Linked DNA regions of Alligator mississippiensis. The protein of the gene in region 2 interacts with the protein of the main gene of each other region in a pairwise test. Links are inferred from orthologs where the notes say so. Each region holds a gene or a part of one and is shown on either strand. Other genes may lie near its edges. The genes, in order: RABGGTB and WDR4.

What was found.
Region 1: the proteins of WDR4 (region 2) and RABGGTB interact in binary tests that used the Homo sapiens proteins (3 or more experiments, as listed by UniProt). The two-hybrid records come from large-scale screens. The link is inferred for Alligator mississippiensis from reciprocal best matches to the Homo sapiens genes WDR4 and RABGGTB.

Annotation. Positions count from the first base shown.
Region 1 is NC_081828.1:22,510,680-22,520,263, reverse strand, and holds the start of RABGGTB (geranylgeranyl transferase type-2 subunit beta), read right to left. Parts: upstream 4,235-9,584; 5' UTR 4,157-4,234; coding exon 4,154-4,156; intron 3,065-4,153; coding exon 2,957-3,064; intron 2,941-2,956; exon of another isoform or gene 2,697-2,940; intron 980-2,696; coding exon 782-979; intron 1-781. UniProt on the Homo sapiens protein: Catalyzes the transfer of a geranylgeranyl moiety from geranylgeranyl diphosphate to both cysteines of Rab proteins with the C-terminal sequence -XXCC, -XCXC and -CCXX, such as RAB1A, RAB3A, RAB5A and RAB7A.
Region 2 is NC_081824.1:299,763,682-299,773,769, reverse strand, and holds the start of WDR4 (tRNA (guanine-N(7)-)-methyltransferase non-catalytic subunit WDR4), read left to right. Parts: upstream 1-5,885; coding exon 5,886-6,016; intron 6,017-9,056; coding exon 9,057-9,119; intron 9,120-10,088. UniProt on the Homo sapiens protein: Non-catalytic component of the METTL1-WDR4 methyltransferase complex required for the formation of N(7)-methylguanine in a subset of RNA species, such as tRNAs, mRNAs and microRNAs (miRNAs).

The DNA.
Region 1 (9,584 bases), on a different chromosome or scaffold from region 2:
CACAATGTAAATGCAGCCTGACTGTACAGGTGTAAAAAACTTTGATCTGTGGAAGAGAGACCGTGAATGCAACTGGGAGGATCTCTGCTGTATCATTTTCAACGTTTCCTGTCAGCTACAGCTGTGGCATGACCTCACCCTCACCTTGAAAGAAGGCTCTGCGATGTTAGCTGATTATGGGTAGGAAGGCAGGCTGGGGAAAAACTAAGGCAAATGTTGGCTGAGAATGACAAGATGCATCCTGGTCAACCTTTGTGAGTGGAGCCCTCACACCAAAAAGATAAAAATTTGTAATAGGTTAATTTAAAGATTACATTACTATTTTACTCCTCAAATGTGTACCTATTAGGCTACTAAAACTTTGAAATAGCAACTTTTCATTAAAACTTACAATTCAGACATGACATATAAAGGAAAAGACGTAAACTATAACTATTTCTGTCTTATATAAATAGCAGCTTATTTCCCCACCCAAAAAGATATCCAGACAATTCAGACAGTCATTTGAAATTTTCTTGAAACTGCTGCATGATATGAACAAAAATTATTACCACATGAGGCCCCAACCCGCAAAGAAAAGCAAGGCATTCTTCATCAGGACACAGTATCACCCTAATACTACCATAATTAAAAATTAGAAACACTTTTTTTCTAGTGAACAAGAGGTACTGAAATAGAGCATTTCAAGGTGCTAAAGAAATAATACACCTTGCTGGTACCTGTACAGTCAGATTAATTTAACTATCACCAATAATGCTTTTATTTCTATATATTTATTTACCTGGACAGCACTAAGGGTATATAAAAGGTGAGGATCATGACCTATGCTGGCACTTATTCCACCACACTCATGTTGGCATGATTTGATGAAAGCTAGAATTTCTTCTTTGCTCATTCGGTGCAGGTGTCCCATGAGATCCATTACTGTCAGTCCCCAGTAGACACCACTCATCCTCAAGTACTCCGACATACAGTACTCCTAAGTAGTACAACATTTTAGTTCTTAAAATAGACAAAAGACACACACAACCACAAACTGAGGTAATGTTTGTTACTGCAGCTACAAATATAAAGTGTTTAGTATGCTTTAATTCTGTGAGGCTGCAGGTTCAAGCTAACACTATATCTAGACCTTAACAAAAGCAGATGCCCCATCCCATCAACAAGGCAAACTGCCTTTTAGTCTAAACAGCTTATATACATAAGATTGACTCAATATTAGAGGTGCACCAATACATTGGTCCGATATCGGATCGGTACTGATATAAAGAAAAATGGCTGTATGGATATTGGCCCCATAAATGCCTGTGCTGCACACAGCCACAGTACAGCACTCAGGAAGCAAGAAGCAAAGCTAGTAACGTGGAGAGCTATCTCCAGCTGTTAAGTCCAGTGTAGTGGAAGGTGAGAAGGGAAGGGATGCTGGACACGCACGTGCGCGTGGGCACGCCCCCCCCCCCCCCCCGTGGTGAGGGAGGGGCAGGTGCTGCCCAGATGAGCCAGGGCTGCAGCTTGATGGGGGGGGAAGAAGGCAGCTCCTACCACTGCTTGCACGCCATGATGGCAGGGTGGGGGGGCATGAACCCCTGGATCTGCACAGGGCAGGCTGCAGCCAGGGCTGTGAGGAGCTCTTCTCGGCAGGGGCTGGGCTCGGAGGAGGTGCTGGCAGCACTGGGAGGATGCTGCATCCACCTCAAATTCTGCTGACGCTCCGCTCCCAGCACTGCCTCAGCTCTTCCTGGCGTGTGGGTGGAGGCAAGGCATTGAGCAAGGGCTGTGCTGGGTGGCTGGCAGCACTGGGAACAGAGCAGCAGTGAAATATGGAGTGCGTGCAGCATCCTCCCAGTGCCACCAGCGTTCACTCTGAGCCCAGCCCCCCACTGAGAAGAGCCCCGCACAGCCCTGGCTGCAGCCCACCCCACACAGATCTACAGGGCACACGTCCCTGTGCCCTCCCAGGGTGCAAGCAGTGGTGGGAGCCGTCCCTCCTTCCCCCAAGAGCCAGGGGCATTGATCTGCTCCCTGCCCCATATCCCTTCCATCACACCAGGCTTACCAGCTGGAGGCATCTGTATTGGAAATCTGATTGGAATCAGCCAATACACCTTCATAAATATTGGTTATTGGTATTGGCCCCCAAAATCTCTATTGGTACACTCCTACTAAATATAGCCATGAATTCAACAGCTAACTTTCCCTAAACTTTCCATCTCAAATGGCTAAGGCACAAGGTTAAGTTACCTACCCATCCTTATGCAACAAGCTTGGCCCAGACCACTAGCTAAAATTTTCTTGGCTAAAGGTCCTTTGCTTACATTACCTCCACAAATGCTCCCTCAGCAGTCAATGAATGATATTGCTGCTAACTGCCAAAACTAAAGAAACACAAAGTAGGAACAGTAAAAGAAAAATCTTGCATTTATCTGAAGCCATTATTATAATCCTTCTCAAGTCACCTGTACCCATGATTTTCATATGGCATTTGTTTTATAGTTGTTTATATATTACTTATTTTGCTGTATGCATCTGGCATAAGATAAATTTCAGCTATGATCAGAAATACCAATTTTAAACTAGAACTGAAATCTTCTAGCGAATTCAGATTAAATCTAGCAAGCCAGCAAGTTTTGGACAGAGATTTGCTACAGTAGATAGAATAAAACACATTTAAGATCAAGTTTTTTTTCACCACTCACCTATTTAGCCTAGTAAGCAAATTAGTACATTTCCCAGGTCTCAGAGTAATTCTAGAGCTAAAGCAGTAATCTTCAACTTTAGTCAGATAATACATGCCAAGGCTCATCACTGACCTAGGAAAACTACCATTACCACTATGCAAAACTAAATCCTTCTCTCTTTTGCACCATAACACAAGAAGCCTCCCACCCTGTCCGTTCAAGAAAGGGCAACATGCAGCATTTCTAAGAGAATGGGAAAAATAACAGTTGCTACATACATAGTCATCTTTTTTTGTTCCATAGGAAGCTATATAGTCTGCATGTTTCTCCAGAAGCAGTGTGCTTAGGGCATCAGGTTTTATTATAACATCTTTTTGTGGTGTCCCCTAAAAAACAAAAAAGCAAAATAAAAATCAAATTCTGAATTGTTACCGGGTAAGCGGGTAAGGTCTTTACCATCTAACACAAGGGTTAGCAATGTTTTTGACCAGAGTGCTAAAAATACACCAAGTCAAGGCATAGGCCAGGGTTGGGATGCCAGGGGCAGATCACAGGGGAGCCATGAAGGGCCCAATCCTTGTTGCTGGCGGTGGCTGCACATGCCTTTGGGTAGACTGTGTGGGAAGGGCAGGGTTGCACTGCCCTGCCCTGCCCTGCGCACGAGATGCACGTGTAGCCACCGCCTGGCAGGGAGCTGGTGCTGGACCCCTGGATCCCGCTGCGAACGGCTGGCTGCCTGCCCCAGCCGGCCTGGGCTCTAGGCAGTTGTGGCAGACTGCAAACATCTGCCCTGGGCTCTGGAGCACTGGCTGCATGTGGGCCTCTGGGCACAAGATGGAGAAGGGGCTGCAGCAATGCAAGCCTGGCCTCTCCCCTGCCACCCACCCAGAGCTGCACCTGCTGCCAGCCACCCTTGCAGCCTCCCAACCACCTGCTGCAAGCAGCCCCTGCTCTGCTCTGCGGCCGGCAGCCACCGCCCAGCGCCAGGTGGCTGTGATGTGCGGACCAAAATGGCCTCCGTCCCCTGCTCTGGCACGTGGTGGGGGTAGCTGACCCCCGCCCTAACGTTTTTGATAGTGGCTTTCAACAAGACAGAACAGAAGCAGCCACAACGGCCGCACCTCCTCTCGTTTTGTCCCCTTCCTTCCCCCGCCCCCCTCCCCAGACACCCCCCCTCCCCCGCCCAAGCGGTCACGTCTCCCGTCACCGCCTCTTCCAGTTACAGGAACAAGGACTCGGCCCAAGGCGGGAGGGGGAACCCCTCCGGCAGACGTGCCATAAATGAATCCCCAGGCGCTCCCCGAGGGCCACCGCGCCCCCCACGCCTGCCCGCACTACTGCTCCCCGCCGCCACCGGGGCAGATCCCTCGTGGAAGCGCCCCCTCGCCCCGGGAAGCGGAGGCCCCGGCCCCGGCGAGCCAAGCCCGGCCCAGGGGACGAGGCCGCGCCCGCTGCGGGCGGCGAGAGCAACCCACCATGTCGGCGGCGCCCGTGGGCCCAGGGGAGGAGGCGGCGCCCCCGCCCGCCCCCGCGCAGGACCCGCCAGAGGTGTCTGCGGCGCTGCCTGCACAGCGGCACCAGCGCCAGGGTTCTGCCGGGTGGGGCGGAGTCCGGCTGCTGAGCAGAGGTGGCTGGCGCGCTGCCTGCCCCGAGCGCCGCACGAGGACCCCAGCTGCCTTGCGCAAAACAGCAGCGCCCAGATGACTCTGCCCCCCGCCCCATGGGCGCTCGCGCCCTATTGTTTTGCGCCTGCGCGGTGGGAGGAGGCCGCCCGCGCCGCGTCACAGCCGTGATGCGCCAGTTCTGCAGCCGGGAGAGCAGCGGGCCCTTCAGTCCCGGTTACAGCCGTTATACGATGACTTGGTTAATCAGGCAATACGTTTGGACGGGCCGCACAGTGCGAGGTATTGTCGCGGGATCAACACGGCCGTCCAGTTATAAAAAAAGAAAACCGGCGACAAAGTTAGTGCTTAAAAAAGTGCAGCCTTATGGCTGGTTTCCTGCTTCCATTTGAACCTGTGGCAGGGCCCTCCGGGGCTAACTGCCAAGGGGACCCGCAGGCAACACCCTGCCTCCTCAGCTGTAGGAATGGCTCAGGGTCCTGTGCTGCCGCCCCACTGGGGCCGTGCTCTCGGGGCCTTTGCTCTTTTAAAGGCTGGTATTTCCTTGGCATCTCTTGTCATCTGTTCAGGCTGCTGCTATCACCCTGATGATATGTCATAATCCCACCTGAGTTTAGCGTGCTTTAATTCACTTTAAAAGTACTCCAGAATTTACAAAACACTTTTTGCACATGAGCCTAGAAACTTCACTTCAATCTACCGGATACAAAAAATTATGAACCAAGTATAGACATTGGACTTATGGTGCATTATAATCCGCCTGCCGTCCGATAACCCTAGGTAACCTCTACGACATTTTACCAACAATATTCCCCTCCTTTCCCCCCACCTATTTATTGTCTCCCATTCCCTCAGATCCTCACTGTCATGTATTTGCATTTCCACAGACCTACATTTTCCATATTGGCTTCTATTCCACCATGGAGACATGGGCAGACAAGGTTCCTTGGGTTCCTCTGCCTATATCCTTAGACCAACACGGCTACAACCTAAACCCCTGCACCATGGAGACATGACATTTCTTTTCTACCTAAAACTTTTACAATCTTTGAATTCTCCTCAGCCTGAAGAAGGGCGCAGGTATCCGAAAGCTTGCAAAGAAATGGCAAAGAAAGCCCCTTGCAGCTCCCCTGCTGTCTGCCTCCAGCACACCAAATTGAGGCATGGGTAAAAGTTGGGGAATTTTTGACGCTGGCCAAAAACATTGCCAACCCCTGCTCTATAGAATTTCTAGCTGAGGAAGTGAATCAAATAAGAGCTGAACAGTTATGTGCAAAGAAATGAGAATCTGCAGATTTGCTGCTCTAGTTTTCTCAGTGTTGGTGCACTCTGTTGGGCAATCTCTCAACACAGTAAACTACAGGCAGTCCTTGGACTTAAGATGCGGTTTTCAGGAACCAATTGTGTCCTAAGTCAAAACGCAGTCCTTGGACTTAGGACGCAGTTGGTTCCTGAAAACCACGTCTTAAGTCAAAACATTGCAACTCAGAACCAATTTTCTCATAAGAAACAATGTTATAAATGTGGGATTGGTTCCTGAACCAAGGCCCGATACCCTATTTTCACCAAAAATACCCCAGAATCTTGTACTCGATCAATTATATGAGTAATATAGCTACATTAATGTATTTATACTGTAAATAGCAATCATTGATTTGCAAGGACTTCTTTGAAGCGACTTTGCTGGACTTTTTGAAGGGCTCTTGGTTGGACTTTTTGAAGGGTTCTTGGCTGAAGTCTTCTCAGAAGTCTTGGCTGCAGGTTTTTTTGGAGTCTTGTCTGTTTTCTTAAAGTGTCCAAGGAAGTTTGGACAGATGTTTTCCAGGGAGATGAGCAACGCAGCAAACTTGTTCGCTGGCGTAGTGTCGCATCGGATCAAGCATTATAAAGTCAAAACTGACATCATAAAGTTGAAACAGGGTGTCAAGTTATAAATGTTGTAAGTGCGAAACGTAACTCGAAAAGTTCTAAGTCGAGGACTGCCTGTACACAGTTTGGCAAGTCTGTATTAGAACACAGAACTCTAGACCAGAAAAGATGCAAAGAAGATTTTTCAATATTTTTTTGCAATATTTTTCTTGAAGTCTCAGAAGGAAATGGCATTCTTCCTTTGCTAGAATAAAATGCTGATTATTGCAACTGTACTATTAAGCTGTCTGTGTGTTATACACCAAAAGTGGGCACACTCTCAAAACAGGATAAAAAGATATGTGATTATAAGTTTGCAAAGTACTCAGGGACCAGTCAGGATGAAAAATTTTATATAAAATGTAAAGTAGCATGTAGAGCTGTGCCAAGAAAGGAAAGTCTGCTAAATGTGAATTATGAATGTTGTGTTTCCCTATCTGCATCACTTCAATAACTTTGCATGATGGACTTTCTCCAGCTAGATCATTTGTAATAACAAGATTAAAACACACAAGGAAGTCAGTTACCTGCACTATAGATTGAATAGATTCTCCTCTTTGAATTACATCAAGCACAAAAGGCAAAAAAAATTAAACAGACCCATCAGTACTTTTGACTTTGGATATTACATTTCAGTTGGTGATTTGCCATAATAATGAATCACCCTCAAAAGAATCTGTCCAAGAAATTAAGTAAATAGGCATCTGAGAATGTGATCAAGAAACATCTGTCACTGAACTAAACATCTCAAAGGAAATTGCCCCGTTCAGCAGTTTCTGCCACACCTATTTCTATGTTTGGACTGATGGAAGAAATGACAGACTGCAAATGCTGAATGTACAAGAAACAAGATTATGTAAGTCACTGTAAGGCAAGTAAGCACTAAATAATCTCACAGATTTCCCAACAGAGCAAGCTCTAAAAGAATGCACAGCTTTGTGAAGTGGGAAGAAGAAGCAATCTCAAAGCATTTTGGTGGAAATCATTCTGTTTCCTTTTCCATTGCCTGTGTGACTCAACAAGTTAAAAGTTTAACTGAATTTCAGGCATGTTATGGTTAACCAAGTGAATTGGATTGATGAATCTTCTAAAGCAGTGGTTGTCAACCGAGGGTACACATACCCCTAGGGGTACTTAAAAGAGTTATAGGGAGTACGTAGAACTGATGTGGCTTCTGAGAGCTGCAATGGGGAAACTCCCCCTGGGCAGTGAGATCTGCCACAGGGGAACCCCTCCCCCCACGGGTCCCTTCACCCCTGACTAAGGCAGCACGATTTGCCCGTGGTCCAGGAATTATGTGAGAGGCAAAGATTTTTGGGGGTATCTTTTACTGGACCATCTGCATGGTTGGAATAGTTAGACAAGCTTTCAAATCCAAGTATTCTTCATCAGGAGAGCCCCGAGTTTGTCTCCAGTGCTGCCACTTGCCCCAAGGAACAGAGCAAGGTTACTCTGAGATAGCTTCCTACCCAGTCAGCTTCAACTCCCTTACTGGACCTGGCAGCAACAGTAAAGAAATGTCAGCTCCAGGTGCCTCCTGCTTTAGGGTAGGAAAGAAAATTGGGGGACAGTGATTCGATCTGTTGATTTGGATCATTGTCCCGATTTAATTCAGTCGAATCTGAATCTGAAGATTCAATGCCAATTCGGAGAATCAGCAATTTGGCCATAGACACAGCTTTAAATGTTTTTTCTACATAGTTTGAGGTACCAGGCACGGCTCACGAAAGCTAAGATGGTGGGGTGGATGGAGTGTCCCACAGGAGCACAGCAGGGGGCCCTGTGTGCTCAGCGGCAGACCCGGAAGTGGACCAGAAGTACTTGCCAGTCCACTTCCAGGTCTGCCAGGTCCCCCCCCGGCTCAGCAATCAGCCGTGGGGGGACCCTGGGTGCCCCCCCAGACCCAAGAGGCACTGCTAGGTGCAAGCTTTCCCCTGTGCCCACTCATGTCCGGCCAGTAATTCCAGTTAATAGAATTCCCGGTTACTTAAATGCCAGATAACAAAGATTTTACTGTAATTTTTATTTGCTCTCTTCTGGATTCTCCATGTAGTTCAGCTCTGGGGTGCTCAAAACTGAACACAGTGCTTCTGTTAAGGCTGGTTGGGGGGAGGGTACAGATGAGTTTGTCATGCCCAGTCTAAACTGCTCTTAAAAACACCCAAGGAGGGTGTTCCACAATCTGTGTAGGTAATTTGCAACTTGTCCAGCTTCTCTTTAATAAAACCATACATAGGGGTACTGGCAATAATATAGTAGTAGTTCTCTGTGTTTTTCCTTATTCTGTTTCTTCCTTTGGATAATTTTGATTTTTGTAGCTGTGACAACTTAAGAACACTTTGAATCGGTGCCAAGTGCATAGAAAAGCAGAAAAAAATGTTTTGGAATAGCTTGACCACCACAATGTAGAGATGTATGCCATTAGTATAATCTAGCCTACAAATTGGCAGGAATAGTCCCCTGAGAATATCCTCCTCCCTAGCTACTACGGAGCTAACAAAAGGCTCATTCCTAGCCCCTTGCCAAGGTGGTATATTGGCAGCGTAGCACATCTTTTTACAATATAACTGCAAAAAGTGAGAGTTCAAAATAGATAAGTGACCTTCACTTTGTAGAATATTTTGGGGCTTTCCAGTACTCTTATTATCTTGAATTATATTGCAAATTAGATACATGACTGCTGGCAAAAAGCTGAAGCCATATACACTAAACTCCAAAAGCAGAGATTTTTTTTTTCCTTTAGAGAGGAAAGCAATAACCCTTATTCTTTTTAGGTAGCCAAGTAAAATGTTTCACTTCATTTTGGATCAACAGGAGTAAGAGATATGTATAAGATATGTCAGAGTTTTGCTTAAGTGTGGCCCAAACAACTAAGACTCAATTGTACAAGGTAAAAAGTGAAATGGTATAATTAATATTTCAGAAGTCAATATCACAAAACAAAAAACCTATCTAATTCCTGTTTTGTTTTGTTTTGATCACTTTCTTCCACAGAACCATCATATGAAAATAAAGGTGTTTCAAATGTACATGTTTCTTTCTCAAGCATGGATACAGGCTTCTTGGTAAGTTCGGCAGTGGTCATCGTCTTGCTGTCATACAAGCTTGCTTTACACATTTCCCTTCAGCAAGCCGTTACATTTCAGACTGACAGAAGAGATAAAGGTTTGCTACTACTACCAAGTAAAGTATACACCTGGTATTTGAAATTAACTACTTAAAAAAGAAGCTTAGACAACGCTCTCCCCCTACAAAAATGATTCCGTCAGAGCTAGCAACTTAAAAGCAAACACTGAACTAGTATTTCAGGAAAGGAAGATGTGGGAACACTTTTTGAATACTGCCCAGCATTCATTTAAATCCTGAATTTAGCTAG
Region 2 (10,088 bases):
CCCCTGCTACACCTTCCATATATTACACAGTTCCTTGGGGAGTCGCACAATAAATTTAGGCCATGCCTGCAAAGTCAGGCTGGCCCCAAGGGCAAAGTAACCTATCATACGACTAACTGGTGCATGGTACAGTGAGTGCAGACCTGCCACAGGTTCAAAGTACTTATCACGCAATTAACTGGTGCATCGTGCAGTAAGTGCCCCACATGCAAAGTGCTTCCCACACGGTAACAAATTGTGTCTCCAGTTATAAAATGAGCCAACCAGCTCTAAAGTTAGTGCTCGGAAATGTGTAACAATTCCTAATCTGGTTTCTGCCCAGCTCTCTTTGAATGTGGAGCAGGGCCCCAAGAGATCCTTGCCTCTGGCATAACTGAAAAGCAGTTGGGTTAAAAAAGGGCTGGGAGGGATCAGTTTGTAGGCAGAAACATGAAGAATGGTCCCCCAGGGCTTCCTGAAGCCTAGTAGAACAGCAACACCCACAGAACTATATTTTCACAGCACAGTTGAAACCAATGAGTCATGGCAGTGCAGGATGAGCAAATAAAACCCATTAGCCCACAGGTTGCAAATGGGAAAATTGCACTACTGAGGCCTTACAAGACCTTAATTAGTTTCTCAAAGCACTCAACACTAGCAGACCCCTGATCTTGAAGACTGGAATTGCTGCCTAAATAGGTTATCCCAGGACATATAAACAATGTCTTTCTGAGCTAGGAGTAGTTCTCAGGATTCCTGACTTCGCATCCTGCCTTCATACCACTAGCCCCACTTTTTAATTTATCCATAAAGAGTTAAGTAGGCTGCTTGTTGCAGTGACTTTCTAAATATACTTTAAAAATTTATGTCACAGAAGCCTAGGAATCGGAGCATAGTAAATTCAGCTCGAAGACCTTCGAATTATAGTATATTTCATAATCAGAAAAATAGGGTGAGACGGGACTTCAGGCCACATCTAACCCAACCCCCTGATCATGGCAGGTTCATCCTTGTCTAACTCATCCCAGGCAAGTTTTTAACTAGCCAGCTCTTAAACACTTTTACTGATAGAACACATAACTGTCAAATTCATTGTGCACTTTAAAATAAAATACCTTTAATAAAGCTTTGCCCTGTGAACATTATTATGCAACCCCATACTAGAATAGACTTGAAAAAATATGGTTCTCAAGCCCTGATTCGACAAACACCTGTACATGTGACCAACTCTGTACACATATGTAGTACCATTAACTTCAATCAAATTACTTATCTGCATGAAACTAAAGTGCTTGGAAGACTTGATTGACCTTTAAAGGAACTGGCAATTTGAATATTTGATTAATTTTAAGAAGTGCAATGTTTATATATGTAGGAGATAGGAAAGCATGGCATCTTAGACTCTAACTGATTCAGAAAGTAACAGTCTATTAAAAATACATAATCCAATCTTTATAAAATAAATTATAGAGAGTTGATTACTCCTTTTTCATGCTTATTAGAAGGATAATTTGGGTGGGCCTAAGAGCTATAATACTAGATGTCCTCTAGTCCCATTATTCTAACCGTTGCCTCTTCTCTTGGTGCAAAGACACTGTACGTTTTGGGTATCCTGAGAGGGGTACTGGGAAGGGCATATCATTAACAAAACAGTGAAAGTGAGTATACATCATATCTTATCAAATATACAACATGAAAGTTCTGTTATCCTCCCTCTAAACTTTAATTTACAGTCATTTTAAGATTTACGTTTAATAGAGAGTAAACATTTTAATGGATTATGTTCTTAAAATTAGCACTGCTCCTTTATCTTTTATCTATTATAGCAATTACACTCATACATCATTTTGCAATATATTTCAAATTACTCCACAGTCTCCTCAAATTTTGAGAACAGAATGTTCAAAATGTAATGCTGGAACACAATAAAACTGTCATACTAAGCATAGGGTGTAACTTAGTTAAAACTAAAGAACAGGATCAGCTGCTCTGGCTGCTAGCCAAAAATGATAATGATATAAAAAATAATATAGCTATGTGAGCTGCTAGTATTAAACTGGTTATGTCCAAAAAGAACATCACACAACATTTTAAAATGTGTGTCCACATCCTTTTCATGTTGCCATAAAGATGTCAAAATTATATTCAGTTTTTGCAGGTGGAAATCTTTTTCTTTTCAGAGCTCTGCAGAAAAAAAAACTTTCAGTGAAAAAGCTGCTTAAAAAATTAATTCCAGGCTTCTGATCTCCTCTCCCTAATAAAAATGACCAACTTTTTACCAGGGACTGCAAAAAGGGGTAACCCCAGTTTTCAGTTTTTATTGTCATGTTTATGCATATAATAAATACACTTTAGCGCTCAAGAGAGAGAATTCAAATGAATGACAATTTACAAAAAAATGACTTTAAGGACTTTGACCTTACCCAAGAAATATGTAAGTTACCGAGGAAATATGTAGGAAATATCTATCAGGAAATAGATAGGTGAATTTACTGTTTAGCAACATAGTACGCTATTCTGCTTTGCCACTTTCTCTCTTTTTTGTGCAACATTCTCATTGGATACAAAACCGTTCTTTTGTAAGCTTGATGCCTTTTAATGACTTATCAGACAACAAAGAAACATAGGGAGGAAGCTTCAGTCAAGGGCTTTACATTTTTTAAATTAAAGAATGGCATACTACTTCTAGTAGGATTGGAGTGTAGGGTTGGATGGCCCAGGAACTATGTGAGAAACGAAGGGGTTCTGTGGTGCAATTTATCAGACCAACTGTATAATTGGAAGAGATGTTGGACAAACTTTTAGGAACAAACTGCCATTCTTCAGTTCCAGTAAAAGATATCACAAAAAACTCCTGGCTCATACATTTCCTGGACCATCATGGCTACAACAATTCAACTCTACTACAAGATGAAGGATACTGAAATCTGCTGCTGACAAAGGAAAATCCACAGTCTAAAACTAAGGAAAGGCTCTTGGTTCCTAAAAAATATGTCCAACATCTCTCCCAACTACAGTTAGTACAATAAAAGAGATCACAAAAAACACTTACTTCGCATATTGTTTCTTGGCAACAGTGACAGGAACTTAATTTGTTTTATATGTCTTTGGGCCAATTTTAATCAGAGCAAACTCTCAAAAAGTCAGTAAACTGTAAAAAAATCATTGCACTCATGGATGGTTTTGTACATTTTTTCAGACCTTAAATGAAAGAGATCTCACTAAATGGCAACTGAATTCTAATATTGTACCATAGACTGAAAAAAGGAAGATGTGTCACAAGCTATGGGCACAAGCTGCAGGTTTCTGCAGGCACTTGGCCTTCTTGGTTTATTGTTCTTTAAACCAGAGGTCAGCAACAATTAACCATAGCTGTCCCTTGTTTATGACTGAGCTACTGCTGCAGCCCTAGTTGCTCTGTGCTGAGGGCTGCTCTTTCTTCTGCTTACTCTAGCCACTTAGTGTCATATTTCTTTGGCAGAGGTGATAGGTAAATTTGGTGGCACCGGTAAGCACAGACTGTAGTAACAGGATGACAGAGCAAAGAGGGCTGGGGTGGCCATCTGCTGGATGCTGTAGAAAGAACTAGTGGCACCTAACAGCTAAACGTATGACACAGCATGGAGAAAGTATCCTTGCTACTGCTGTTCTCCTCCCCGTCCACCATGTGAAGGATTCAATCTGTGGGCCAGATATGGGCCCTTGTGGGCTATAGGTTGCCAACCCCTCCTTTAAACCTTGCATAATAGATTATCAATCATGGATTCAGTTAAACAGAACGCAGTCATACATGTTCCGAGTCCGGATTTTTATTTTTTTTTTTGCCTTGGGATTTGAACCTTGCTCTTGCTTGACCTTCCCCTTGTCACTAGGTGAGGGTGGGGACAGGTGGGGAACACCTTCCCATGAATTCCTGCCCTGTCCACTCTGTTAAAATTTCATCCAGGAAGAGTTTTCTTCCTTGACTATACCTTTTCATAGTTTCATAGTTGGTAGGGTCAGAAGGGCCCTAAGCAGATCATCTAGTCTGACCCCCTGCCATAGGCAGAAAAGAATGCTGGGGTCAAATGACCCCAGCTAGGTGGCTGTCTAGCCTCCTTTTGAAGACCCCCAGGGTAGGGGCAAGCACCACTTCCCTTGGAAGTTGGTTCCAGCTCCTAGCCGACCTAACAGTGAAGTGGTGCCTCCTGATATCTAGCCTGAATCTAATCTCAGTCAATTATCAATTGCCATATATCATTTCAGCATCTGTGCTATATTTATTGTCCAATATAACCAAATATAACCAAAGATTTCCTGTTTAAAACTATAGTTTCAATAGACATTTATAAAACTTTAAATTTATATTTTTTCCAAGCTGTTTTGCACACTACTCCGGATAACTGTTTAAAACAGATTTATATAATAATTATGATTTATTATTTTTCCCCCTACAAACCTGATTTAGAATAAAATTGTATCATTTGAAGAATTTTACAAACAAGTGAAGGAAGAATCAGATCTTTAAAGCATTGAGTAATACAGAGCGAGTAAAAATGACTGTTTAATATTATGGGGTTACAATTATGACCATCCGTCATATGCAATATCTACAAATTAAGGTTTACTGTTCCCAGCATCAGTGCTGCAACTAAACATATGAGACAGTAAGTGTGTATTGAGTTGGAAAAGAAAGAAGAGATTTAATTATTTTGAAGTGTTCACCCTTTGTAACTGTATACCAGCTAGTCTCAACTTCTCTAGATTTGAGGCACGGAAAGTGACAGCTCTTACTTTTCCCTTCTTTTTTGACTACAGAAAAATACTAGAGCAATTCTTCTCAGAAAGACCCCAACAGGGCCAAATGGTTTTAACGCTCTGGATTCCTATTTTAAAACTCTTGCGTTTATCTTGCAAATCATGTTTGCAGAGCTAACATGGTGCTAACATGGTGTGGCAACCCAAGCACCCACCAAGGGTGGAGATTGCACAACCTTTCTGGGTAGCCTGTTCCAGTATTTTACTACCTTCTTTGTTAGACAGTTTTTCCTAATATCTAACTTAAACCTCCCTTGCTGCAACTTGAGACCATTGCTCCTTGTCCTGTGATCTGCCACCACTGAGAACAGTTTAGCGCCATCCTCTTTTAAACCCCACTTCAGGTAGATGAAGGCTATTAAATCCCCCCTCAGTCCTCTCTTCTGCAGACTAAATAAGCCCAGTTCCCTCAGCCTCTCTTCAGAAGTCATGTGCCCAGTCCGCTCACCATTTTCCTTGCCCTCCACTAGACTCTCCCCAATACATAAACTTTACCAAGATGCAATTCAGCATCACCAGCGGCTGCAAAAAGACATGTACTCTGGCATAATATCACCAGGCACCCTGGTTTTCTCTGGTAAAAAGAAAAATCCCCAATTTTCAGATTTAAAAAAAAATCCAAGTTTTTCCATGATTAAAATGAAACACCACTATATATATATATATATAGTACATTTTTCCGTGGTTAAAACAAAACACTACTATATAAGTGGAGTTGCATTTTAATCACATAAAAATGTGAATGTGGATTTTGGGTTACTTTTTTAAATCTGAAAATTGGAATTTTTTTAATCACAGAAAACTAGGATCCCTGGCTATCAAACACCGGGGAAGTGATTTTAACATAGCAGCCAGGGTTTGGACAAAGGAGCCAGAGAAGGGGAATGAGGAACTAGGACAAAGCAGTGAGAACAAGGGCCCAACTCCAGCCCCACGCCGAACTACGGCTAACCGAACCTCCTGAGCGCAACTCAGAAGCCCCGACCCCCTCGCTTCGCCGCTCTCTAGTTACGTCACATTCGAGCGTCAGCGCCCATGGTGATGTCTAAATCCCGCGACGCTGGGGGAGCCTCCAGCTGCTTCCCGGGCGCACGTGGGTGGGCGTCCGCATGGAGGAAGCGGCGGCAGCAGCGGCGATGGTGGGGGGCCCTGGCCCGGGAATGGGGCTGCGCGGGGGCCTGATGGCTGTCAGTGGAGGGAGCAAGGTGCTGGCCGCCCGGTACCAGGAGCTCAGGGCCAGGTCAGCAGTGGGGGGATGCAGCCGCAAGGCTTCTTGTGCGGGGGAGCTGTGGGAGTAGCGGAGGGAGGCTAGCGGGAGCTCTTGCCGCTGCGGCACAGGCGGGTCCTGGCATTGGGTGCAAGGCTGGCCCCTCCCTTCCTCTCTCCCCCTACGCGAACTGTGGGGCATCAGCTGCTGCTCTCCCCACACCTGGTTCCAGAACCCCCGCCCTCGGTTCTAGAACCTTCCCCCGCCCTTGGTTCTGGAACCCCCTCCCCCTGCCCTTAGTTCCACAACCTATTTCGTTCCCTCTGTGCACAGTCGTTCAGGGCCCAGCTCCTGCCCTACTGGGAGAGGAAGGTGGTGGTGCTGAAGGCATGGCACCCCTGTTCCCCTTCCTTTTAAGTGTGTGGCTGAAGAGGGTGCTAGAGCCAGGGCTGAGCATGAAATGGGGCACTGCGTGTAGCCTGCAGCCTGGACCCACTCCCAGTGCTGTGCACAGGAATTGTGGTGACACATGTGGCTCATGCATGAGTCTGGCTGCATGTGCTGCATGCAGCATGTGGGGTCAGTGTGAGACCCATTGGCCAGATCATAGGGCTCCACAGGCTGGATCTAGCCTCCAGGCTGCATGTTGGACACTCCTGACTTAAAACAAGTAATTTCATATGAAGTAGGAGCCCCGGATTTGGTGCTGATGTTTGTAAATTTACAGCATGTGAGAACTTAAAATGTTTCCAATGAGAGATCGTCCTGTAACAGACTAACTGTCTACATAAAGGCTGGCCAACCTGTGGTACCGGTGACACAAGTGGCACAGGCAGCCTTGATGTGGTGTGCGGTAGATCAGAGAGGGGACAGGCTGTGCAGCAGAAAGCAAAGCAGCAAATCAGGCAGGATGTGCAGGGCTGGGAGCAGAAAGCAGAGCGGCAGATTGAGCAGGGAAAGGGGATGGCACTGAGGGAAAATCCAGGGCTAATTTGTGGCATGCCTTCCAAAAATGGCTGGTTTCCCCGCTGATTCATATCACCTTGTGCACTCTGGGATCTACTAGTGTACAGGTCAGTCGCATCTTACACGGGGGTTAGGTGCTGAAGTCAGCGCATAAAGCGAAAATCGGTGACTACGTGGGGTGGGAGAAGGGCGGGGCTTGAGCGTGCAAGAGGCGCCATGCTTAGTGCTGTGCGGCTGGCGGCAGCGGCGCAGTGCGGGGTGGTGGTGGGGATGGCTGCATGCTGCCCGGCCACTACCGTGTTGCTGCCGCCGCCTGGCAACTGGCCACACAGCTCTGGGCATGGCTCCGTGGCGACAGCAGGAGGTTTTGGAGGCAGTGGCCATCACTGCCATAACGGGCCTCCAGGTAAGCGACAGTGCCGTGTGCAAGCTCAAGCCCCACCCCCCTCCCACCCCGCATATAGTTGAATTTGCCCAAGTTAAATGCGTGTATGATGCGACTGACCTGTATGTCCTTTCCTAAGTTTGCGCATATAGTTTTGCTGATTTCATTGACTTAAATAGGGCTACTCAGGATGATGTAATTGATCATAGATTCTTTCCCAGGAGTAGGGGCTAAAACTGGGAGGAAAAAATCTCTAATGTTTCAATTAATTAGTGTAATAGGGGAAATTTTGGTTAATATCTCCCTTTCCCCTAAAGTGGATGGTGTTCCTTTCAAGAAGCCCAAAACTAGTATGGTTACTTTGGGAAATTAGCTTTACTTGTTAGTTTACCCAGCAATGAAAAAGCCATCATGTAATTACTTATGTACATCTCACCCCATCCTTCAATAGAAAGGTTTTCCAAGGGTTACACAGATAGTGTGACATAATTAAGGAAATGGCGACTGAAACAGGGCTGTGATTTTGTCATTTGTTCATTTTGTCTATGTCACAACCCAAGGGTGTGATTTTTGTTTGTGTGTGCTTTGGCACCGCTGAATTATTTTCCCGCTGTTTGAAGCTTTCTTTGCAGTGTGCATTTCTTCTTTGCAGCATAGAAATGCACGTTGCACGGAGTTCCCGCCATTTGTATTTAAATTCGACCCCCCACTATTGGTTGTTTCTAAATTATTCCTACGTGGCGGCTAGCGAGCTTGCTAGCCGTATAAGAGGCTTGAGTGGTTTCCGCCCAAGTTGGAGGACTCCACGAACATCAGGAGGAGGAGACTTCACGTCTTGTGAAGATCTCTTAGCGCTGCGGAGCCTATTGGACCCAGCGTGAATATCAAGAAGGCAACGGGGGTCTGATCAGCCTCTAGCCTCTCCCCGTCGCTGAGCGCAATCCTCAACGTATCCCTCTTCCCTGCACGCAAAAAGTTCCACAGAGCCTTGACAACTTCGTGTGAGTCAGAGTTTTGTCCAAGTCCTTAACGTAGGGATTTAAGTGGAGTTTTACCTGGGAAACTGTCCAGCCTACACCGTGACCATCTACGGTGTAAGTAAACAATCTTGAATCAACCACTAAGCGTCCGTGCCTAATTCTAGCGTGTCGCCTGCTTTCTCTGACCCAGCGTGTCCGGGCTGCTGGCCACAGCCCGCGGCCTGAAAAAAGGGCCCCAGATCGCTCCCGGCCTGCACAGTCTAGATTACCAAATTTGTACGTCATTAAATACTGGCACACAGCTTGTTTGTATACAGTAAATTCCACTTTAAGCTTACTAGTCTTGATGCCTGACAGCATTCATACACAGACAACCTGATCAATCAGTGACATACATAGCAGATGCCAAGATAAATTAACTGCAAATGACTGGTGCATTTGAGAGACCAGTAAAAATGAAAACAGCTGTTCACAGAATAAAAATCACATTGTTTTGCCATCAACTAATAACTTATGCTTGGTAAGTGATAACTTGTATTTGGTGTGTATATGGGATGGAAGATGCTAAATATCAATAACCTGAACAGTTTTGTTGGTGTTTGGAGGTGTGGTGGTGGTAGGGGAACATCGGAGCAGACTACAATTGGAACATAAAAGTATGTAAGAATGGTGCATTATGAATAAGGTATTCTGTGTGAGGGAATTCTGGTAGTATTTGGGTTTTTTATCCTTATTTTTCCAGTAATGATGGCGATCTCTTTGTGTATGACTGTGTCACTGCAAACAAGAGGACACAAGAAAAAGGGTGAGTGAATTCATTTAAACTTTTTGCTGCCTATCCAGAGGCTGTAACACTGCCCTCGTTGCAAAAAAAAAAAAAAAAAGCCAACAACCTGCTGGGTTGTATTAATAGAAATGTCTCTTGCAAATCAAGGGAAGCGATTCTTCTGCTCTATTCGGCATTGGTGAGGCCTCACCTAGAGTATTGTGTTCAGTTTTGGGCCCCACGCTTCAAGAAAGATGTGGACAGATGTGTAAAGCAGAGAGCAACATAAATGATTAGAGGCCTGGGAAATATGATTTATGAAGAAAGGGTGAGAGAACTAGGATTATTGTCTGGAGAAGAGAAGGCTGAAAGGGGATTTGATAACAGTCTCTGAATACCTTTACGGGAGATAGTCTTGTGCCCTGCAGCCACAGAGAAAAGGCTAGGAGTAATGGCATAAAACTGCAGCAAAGGAAATTTAGGTTGAGGGTTAGGAAGAACTTTTTAACTATGAGGGGAGTCAAGCATTGGAACAGGCTACGTAGAGAAGTTCTGGACTCTCTGTCTGGATATTTTTCAAGAGCAAGTTAAAGAGACACTTGGCTGGGATGTCTTAGTACAGGATTATCTAGCCTTGAGCAGAGGGATAACATGGTTAGATGACCTCATGAGGTCCCTTCCATCCTTACTTTCCTATGATCCTATGACCTTTTTCAATAATTGAGTGATAAACAAGACATAATTGGGAATGCTTGTAGGCAAGACATGATTTACTTAATTTCCAGACAGATCCTCTATTTTGTTATTTATTATGCATTTAAACTTTTTTTTTGTGGTAAATTGCCTGAAAAGAATGCAGCCACAACAATCAACACTACTGTGTTGTGTGGGTATTTTTGTTTTAACTTGTATAATTATTAGAATGGAAAAATACTTTAGTCATGTTTTACTTTGAGCATGGGTAACTGCTTTACCTCTTGTCAGTTCTGCTGTTTATAGATCACAATC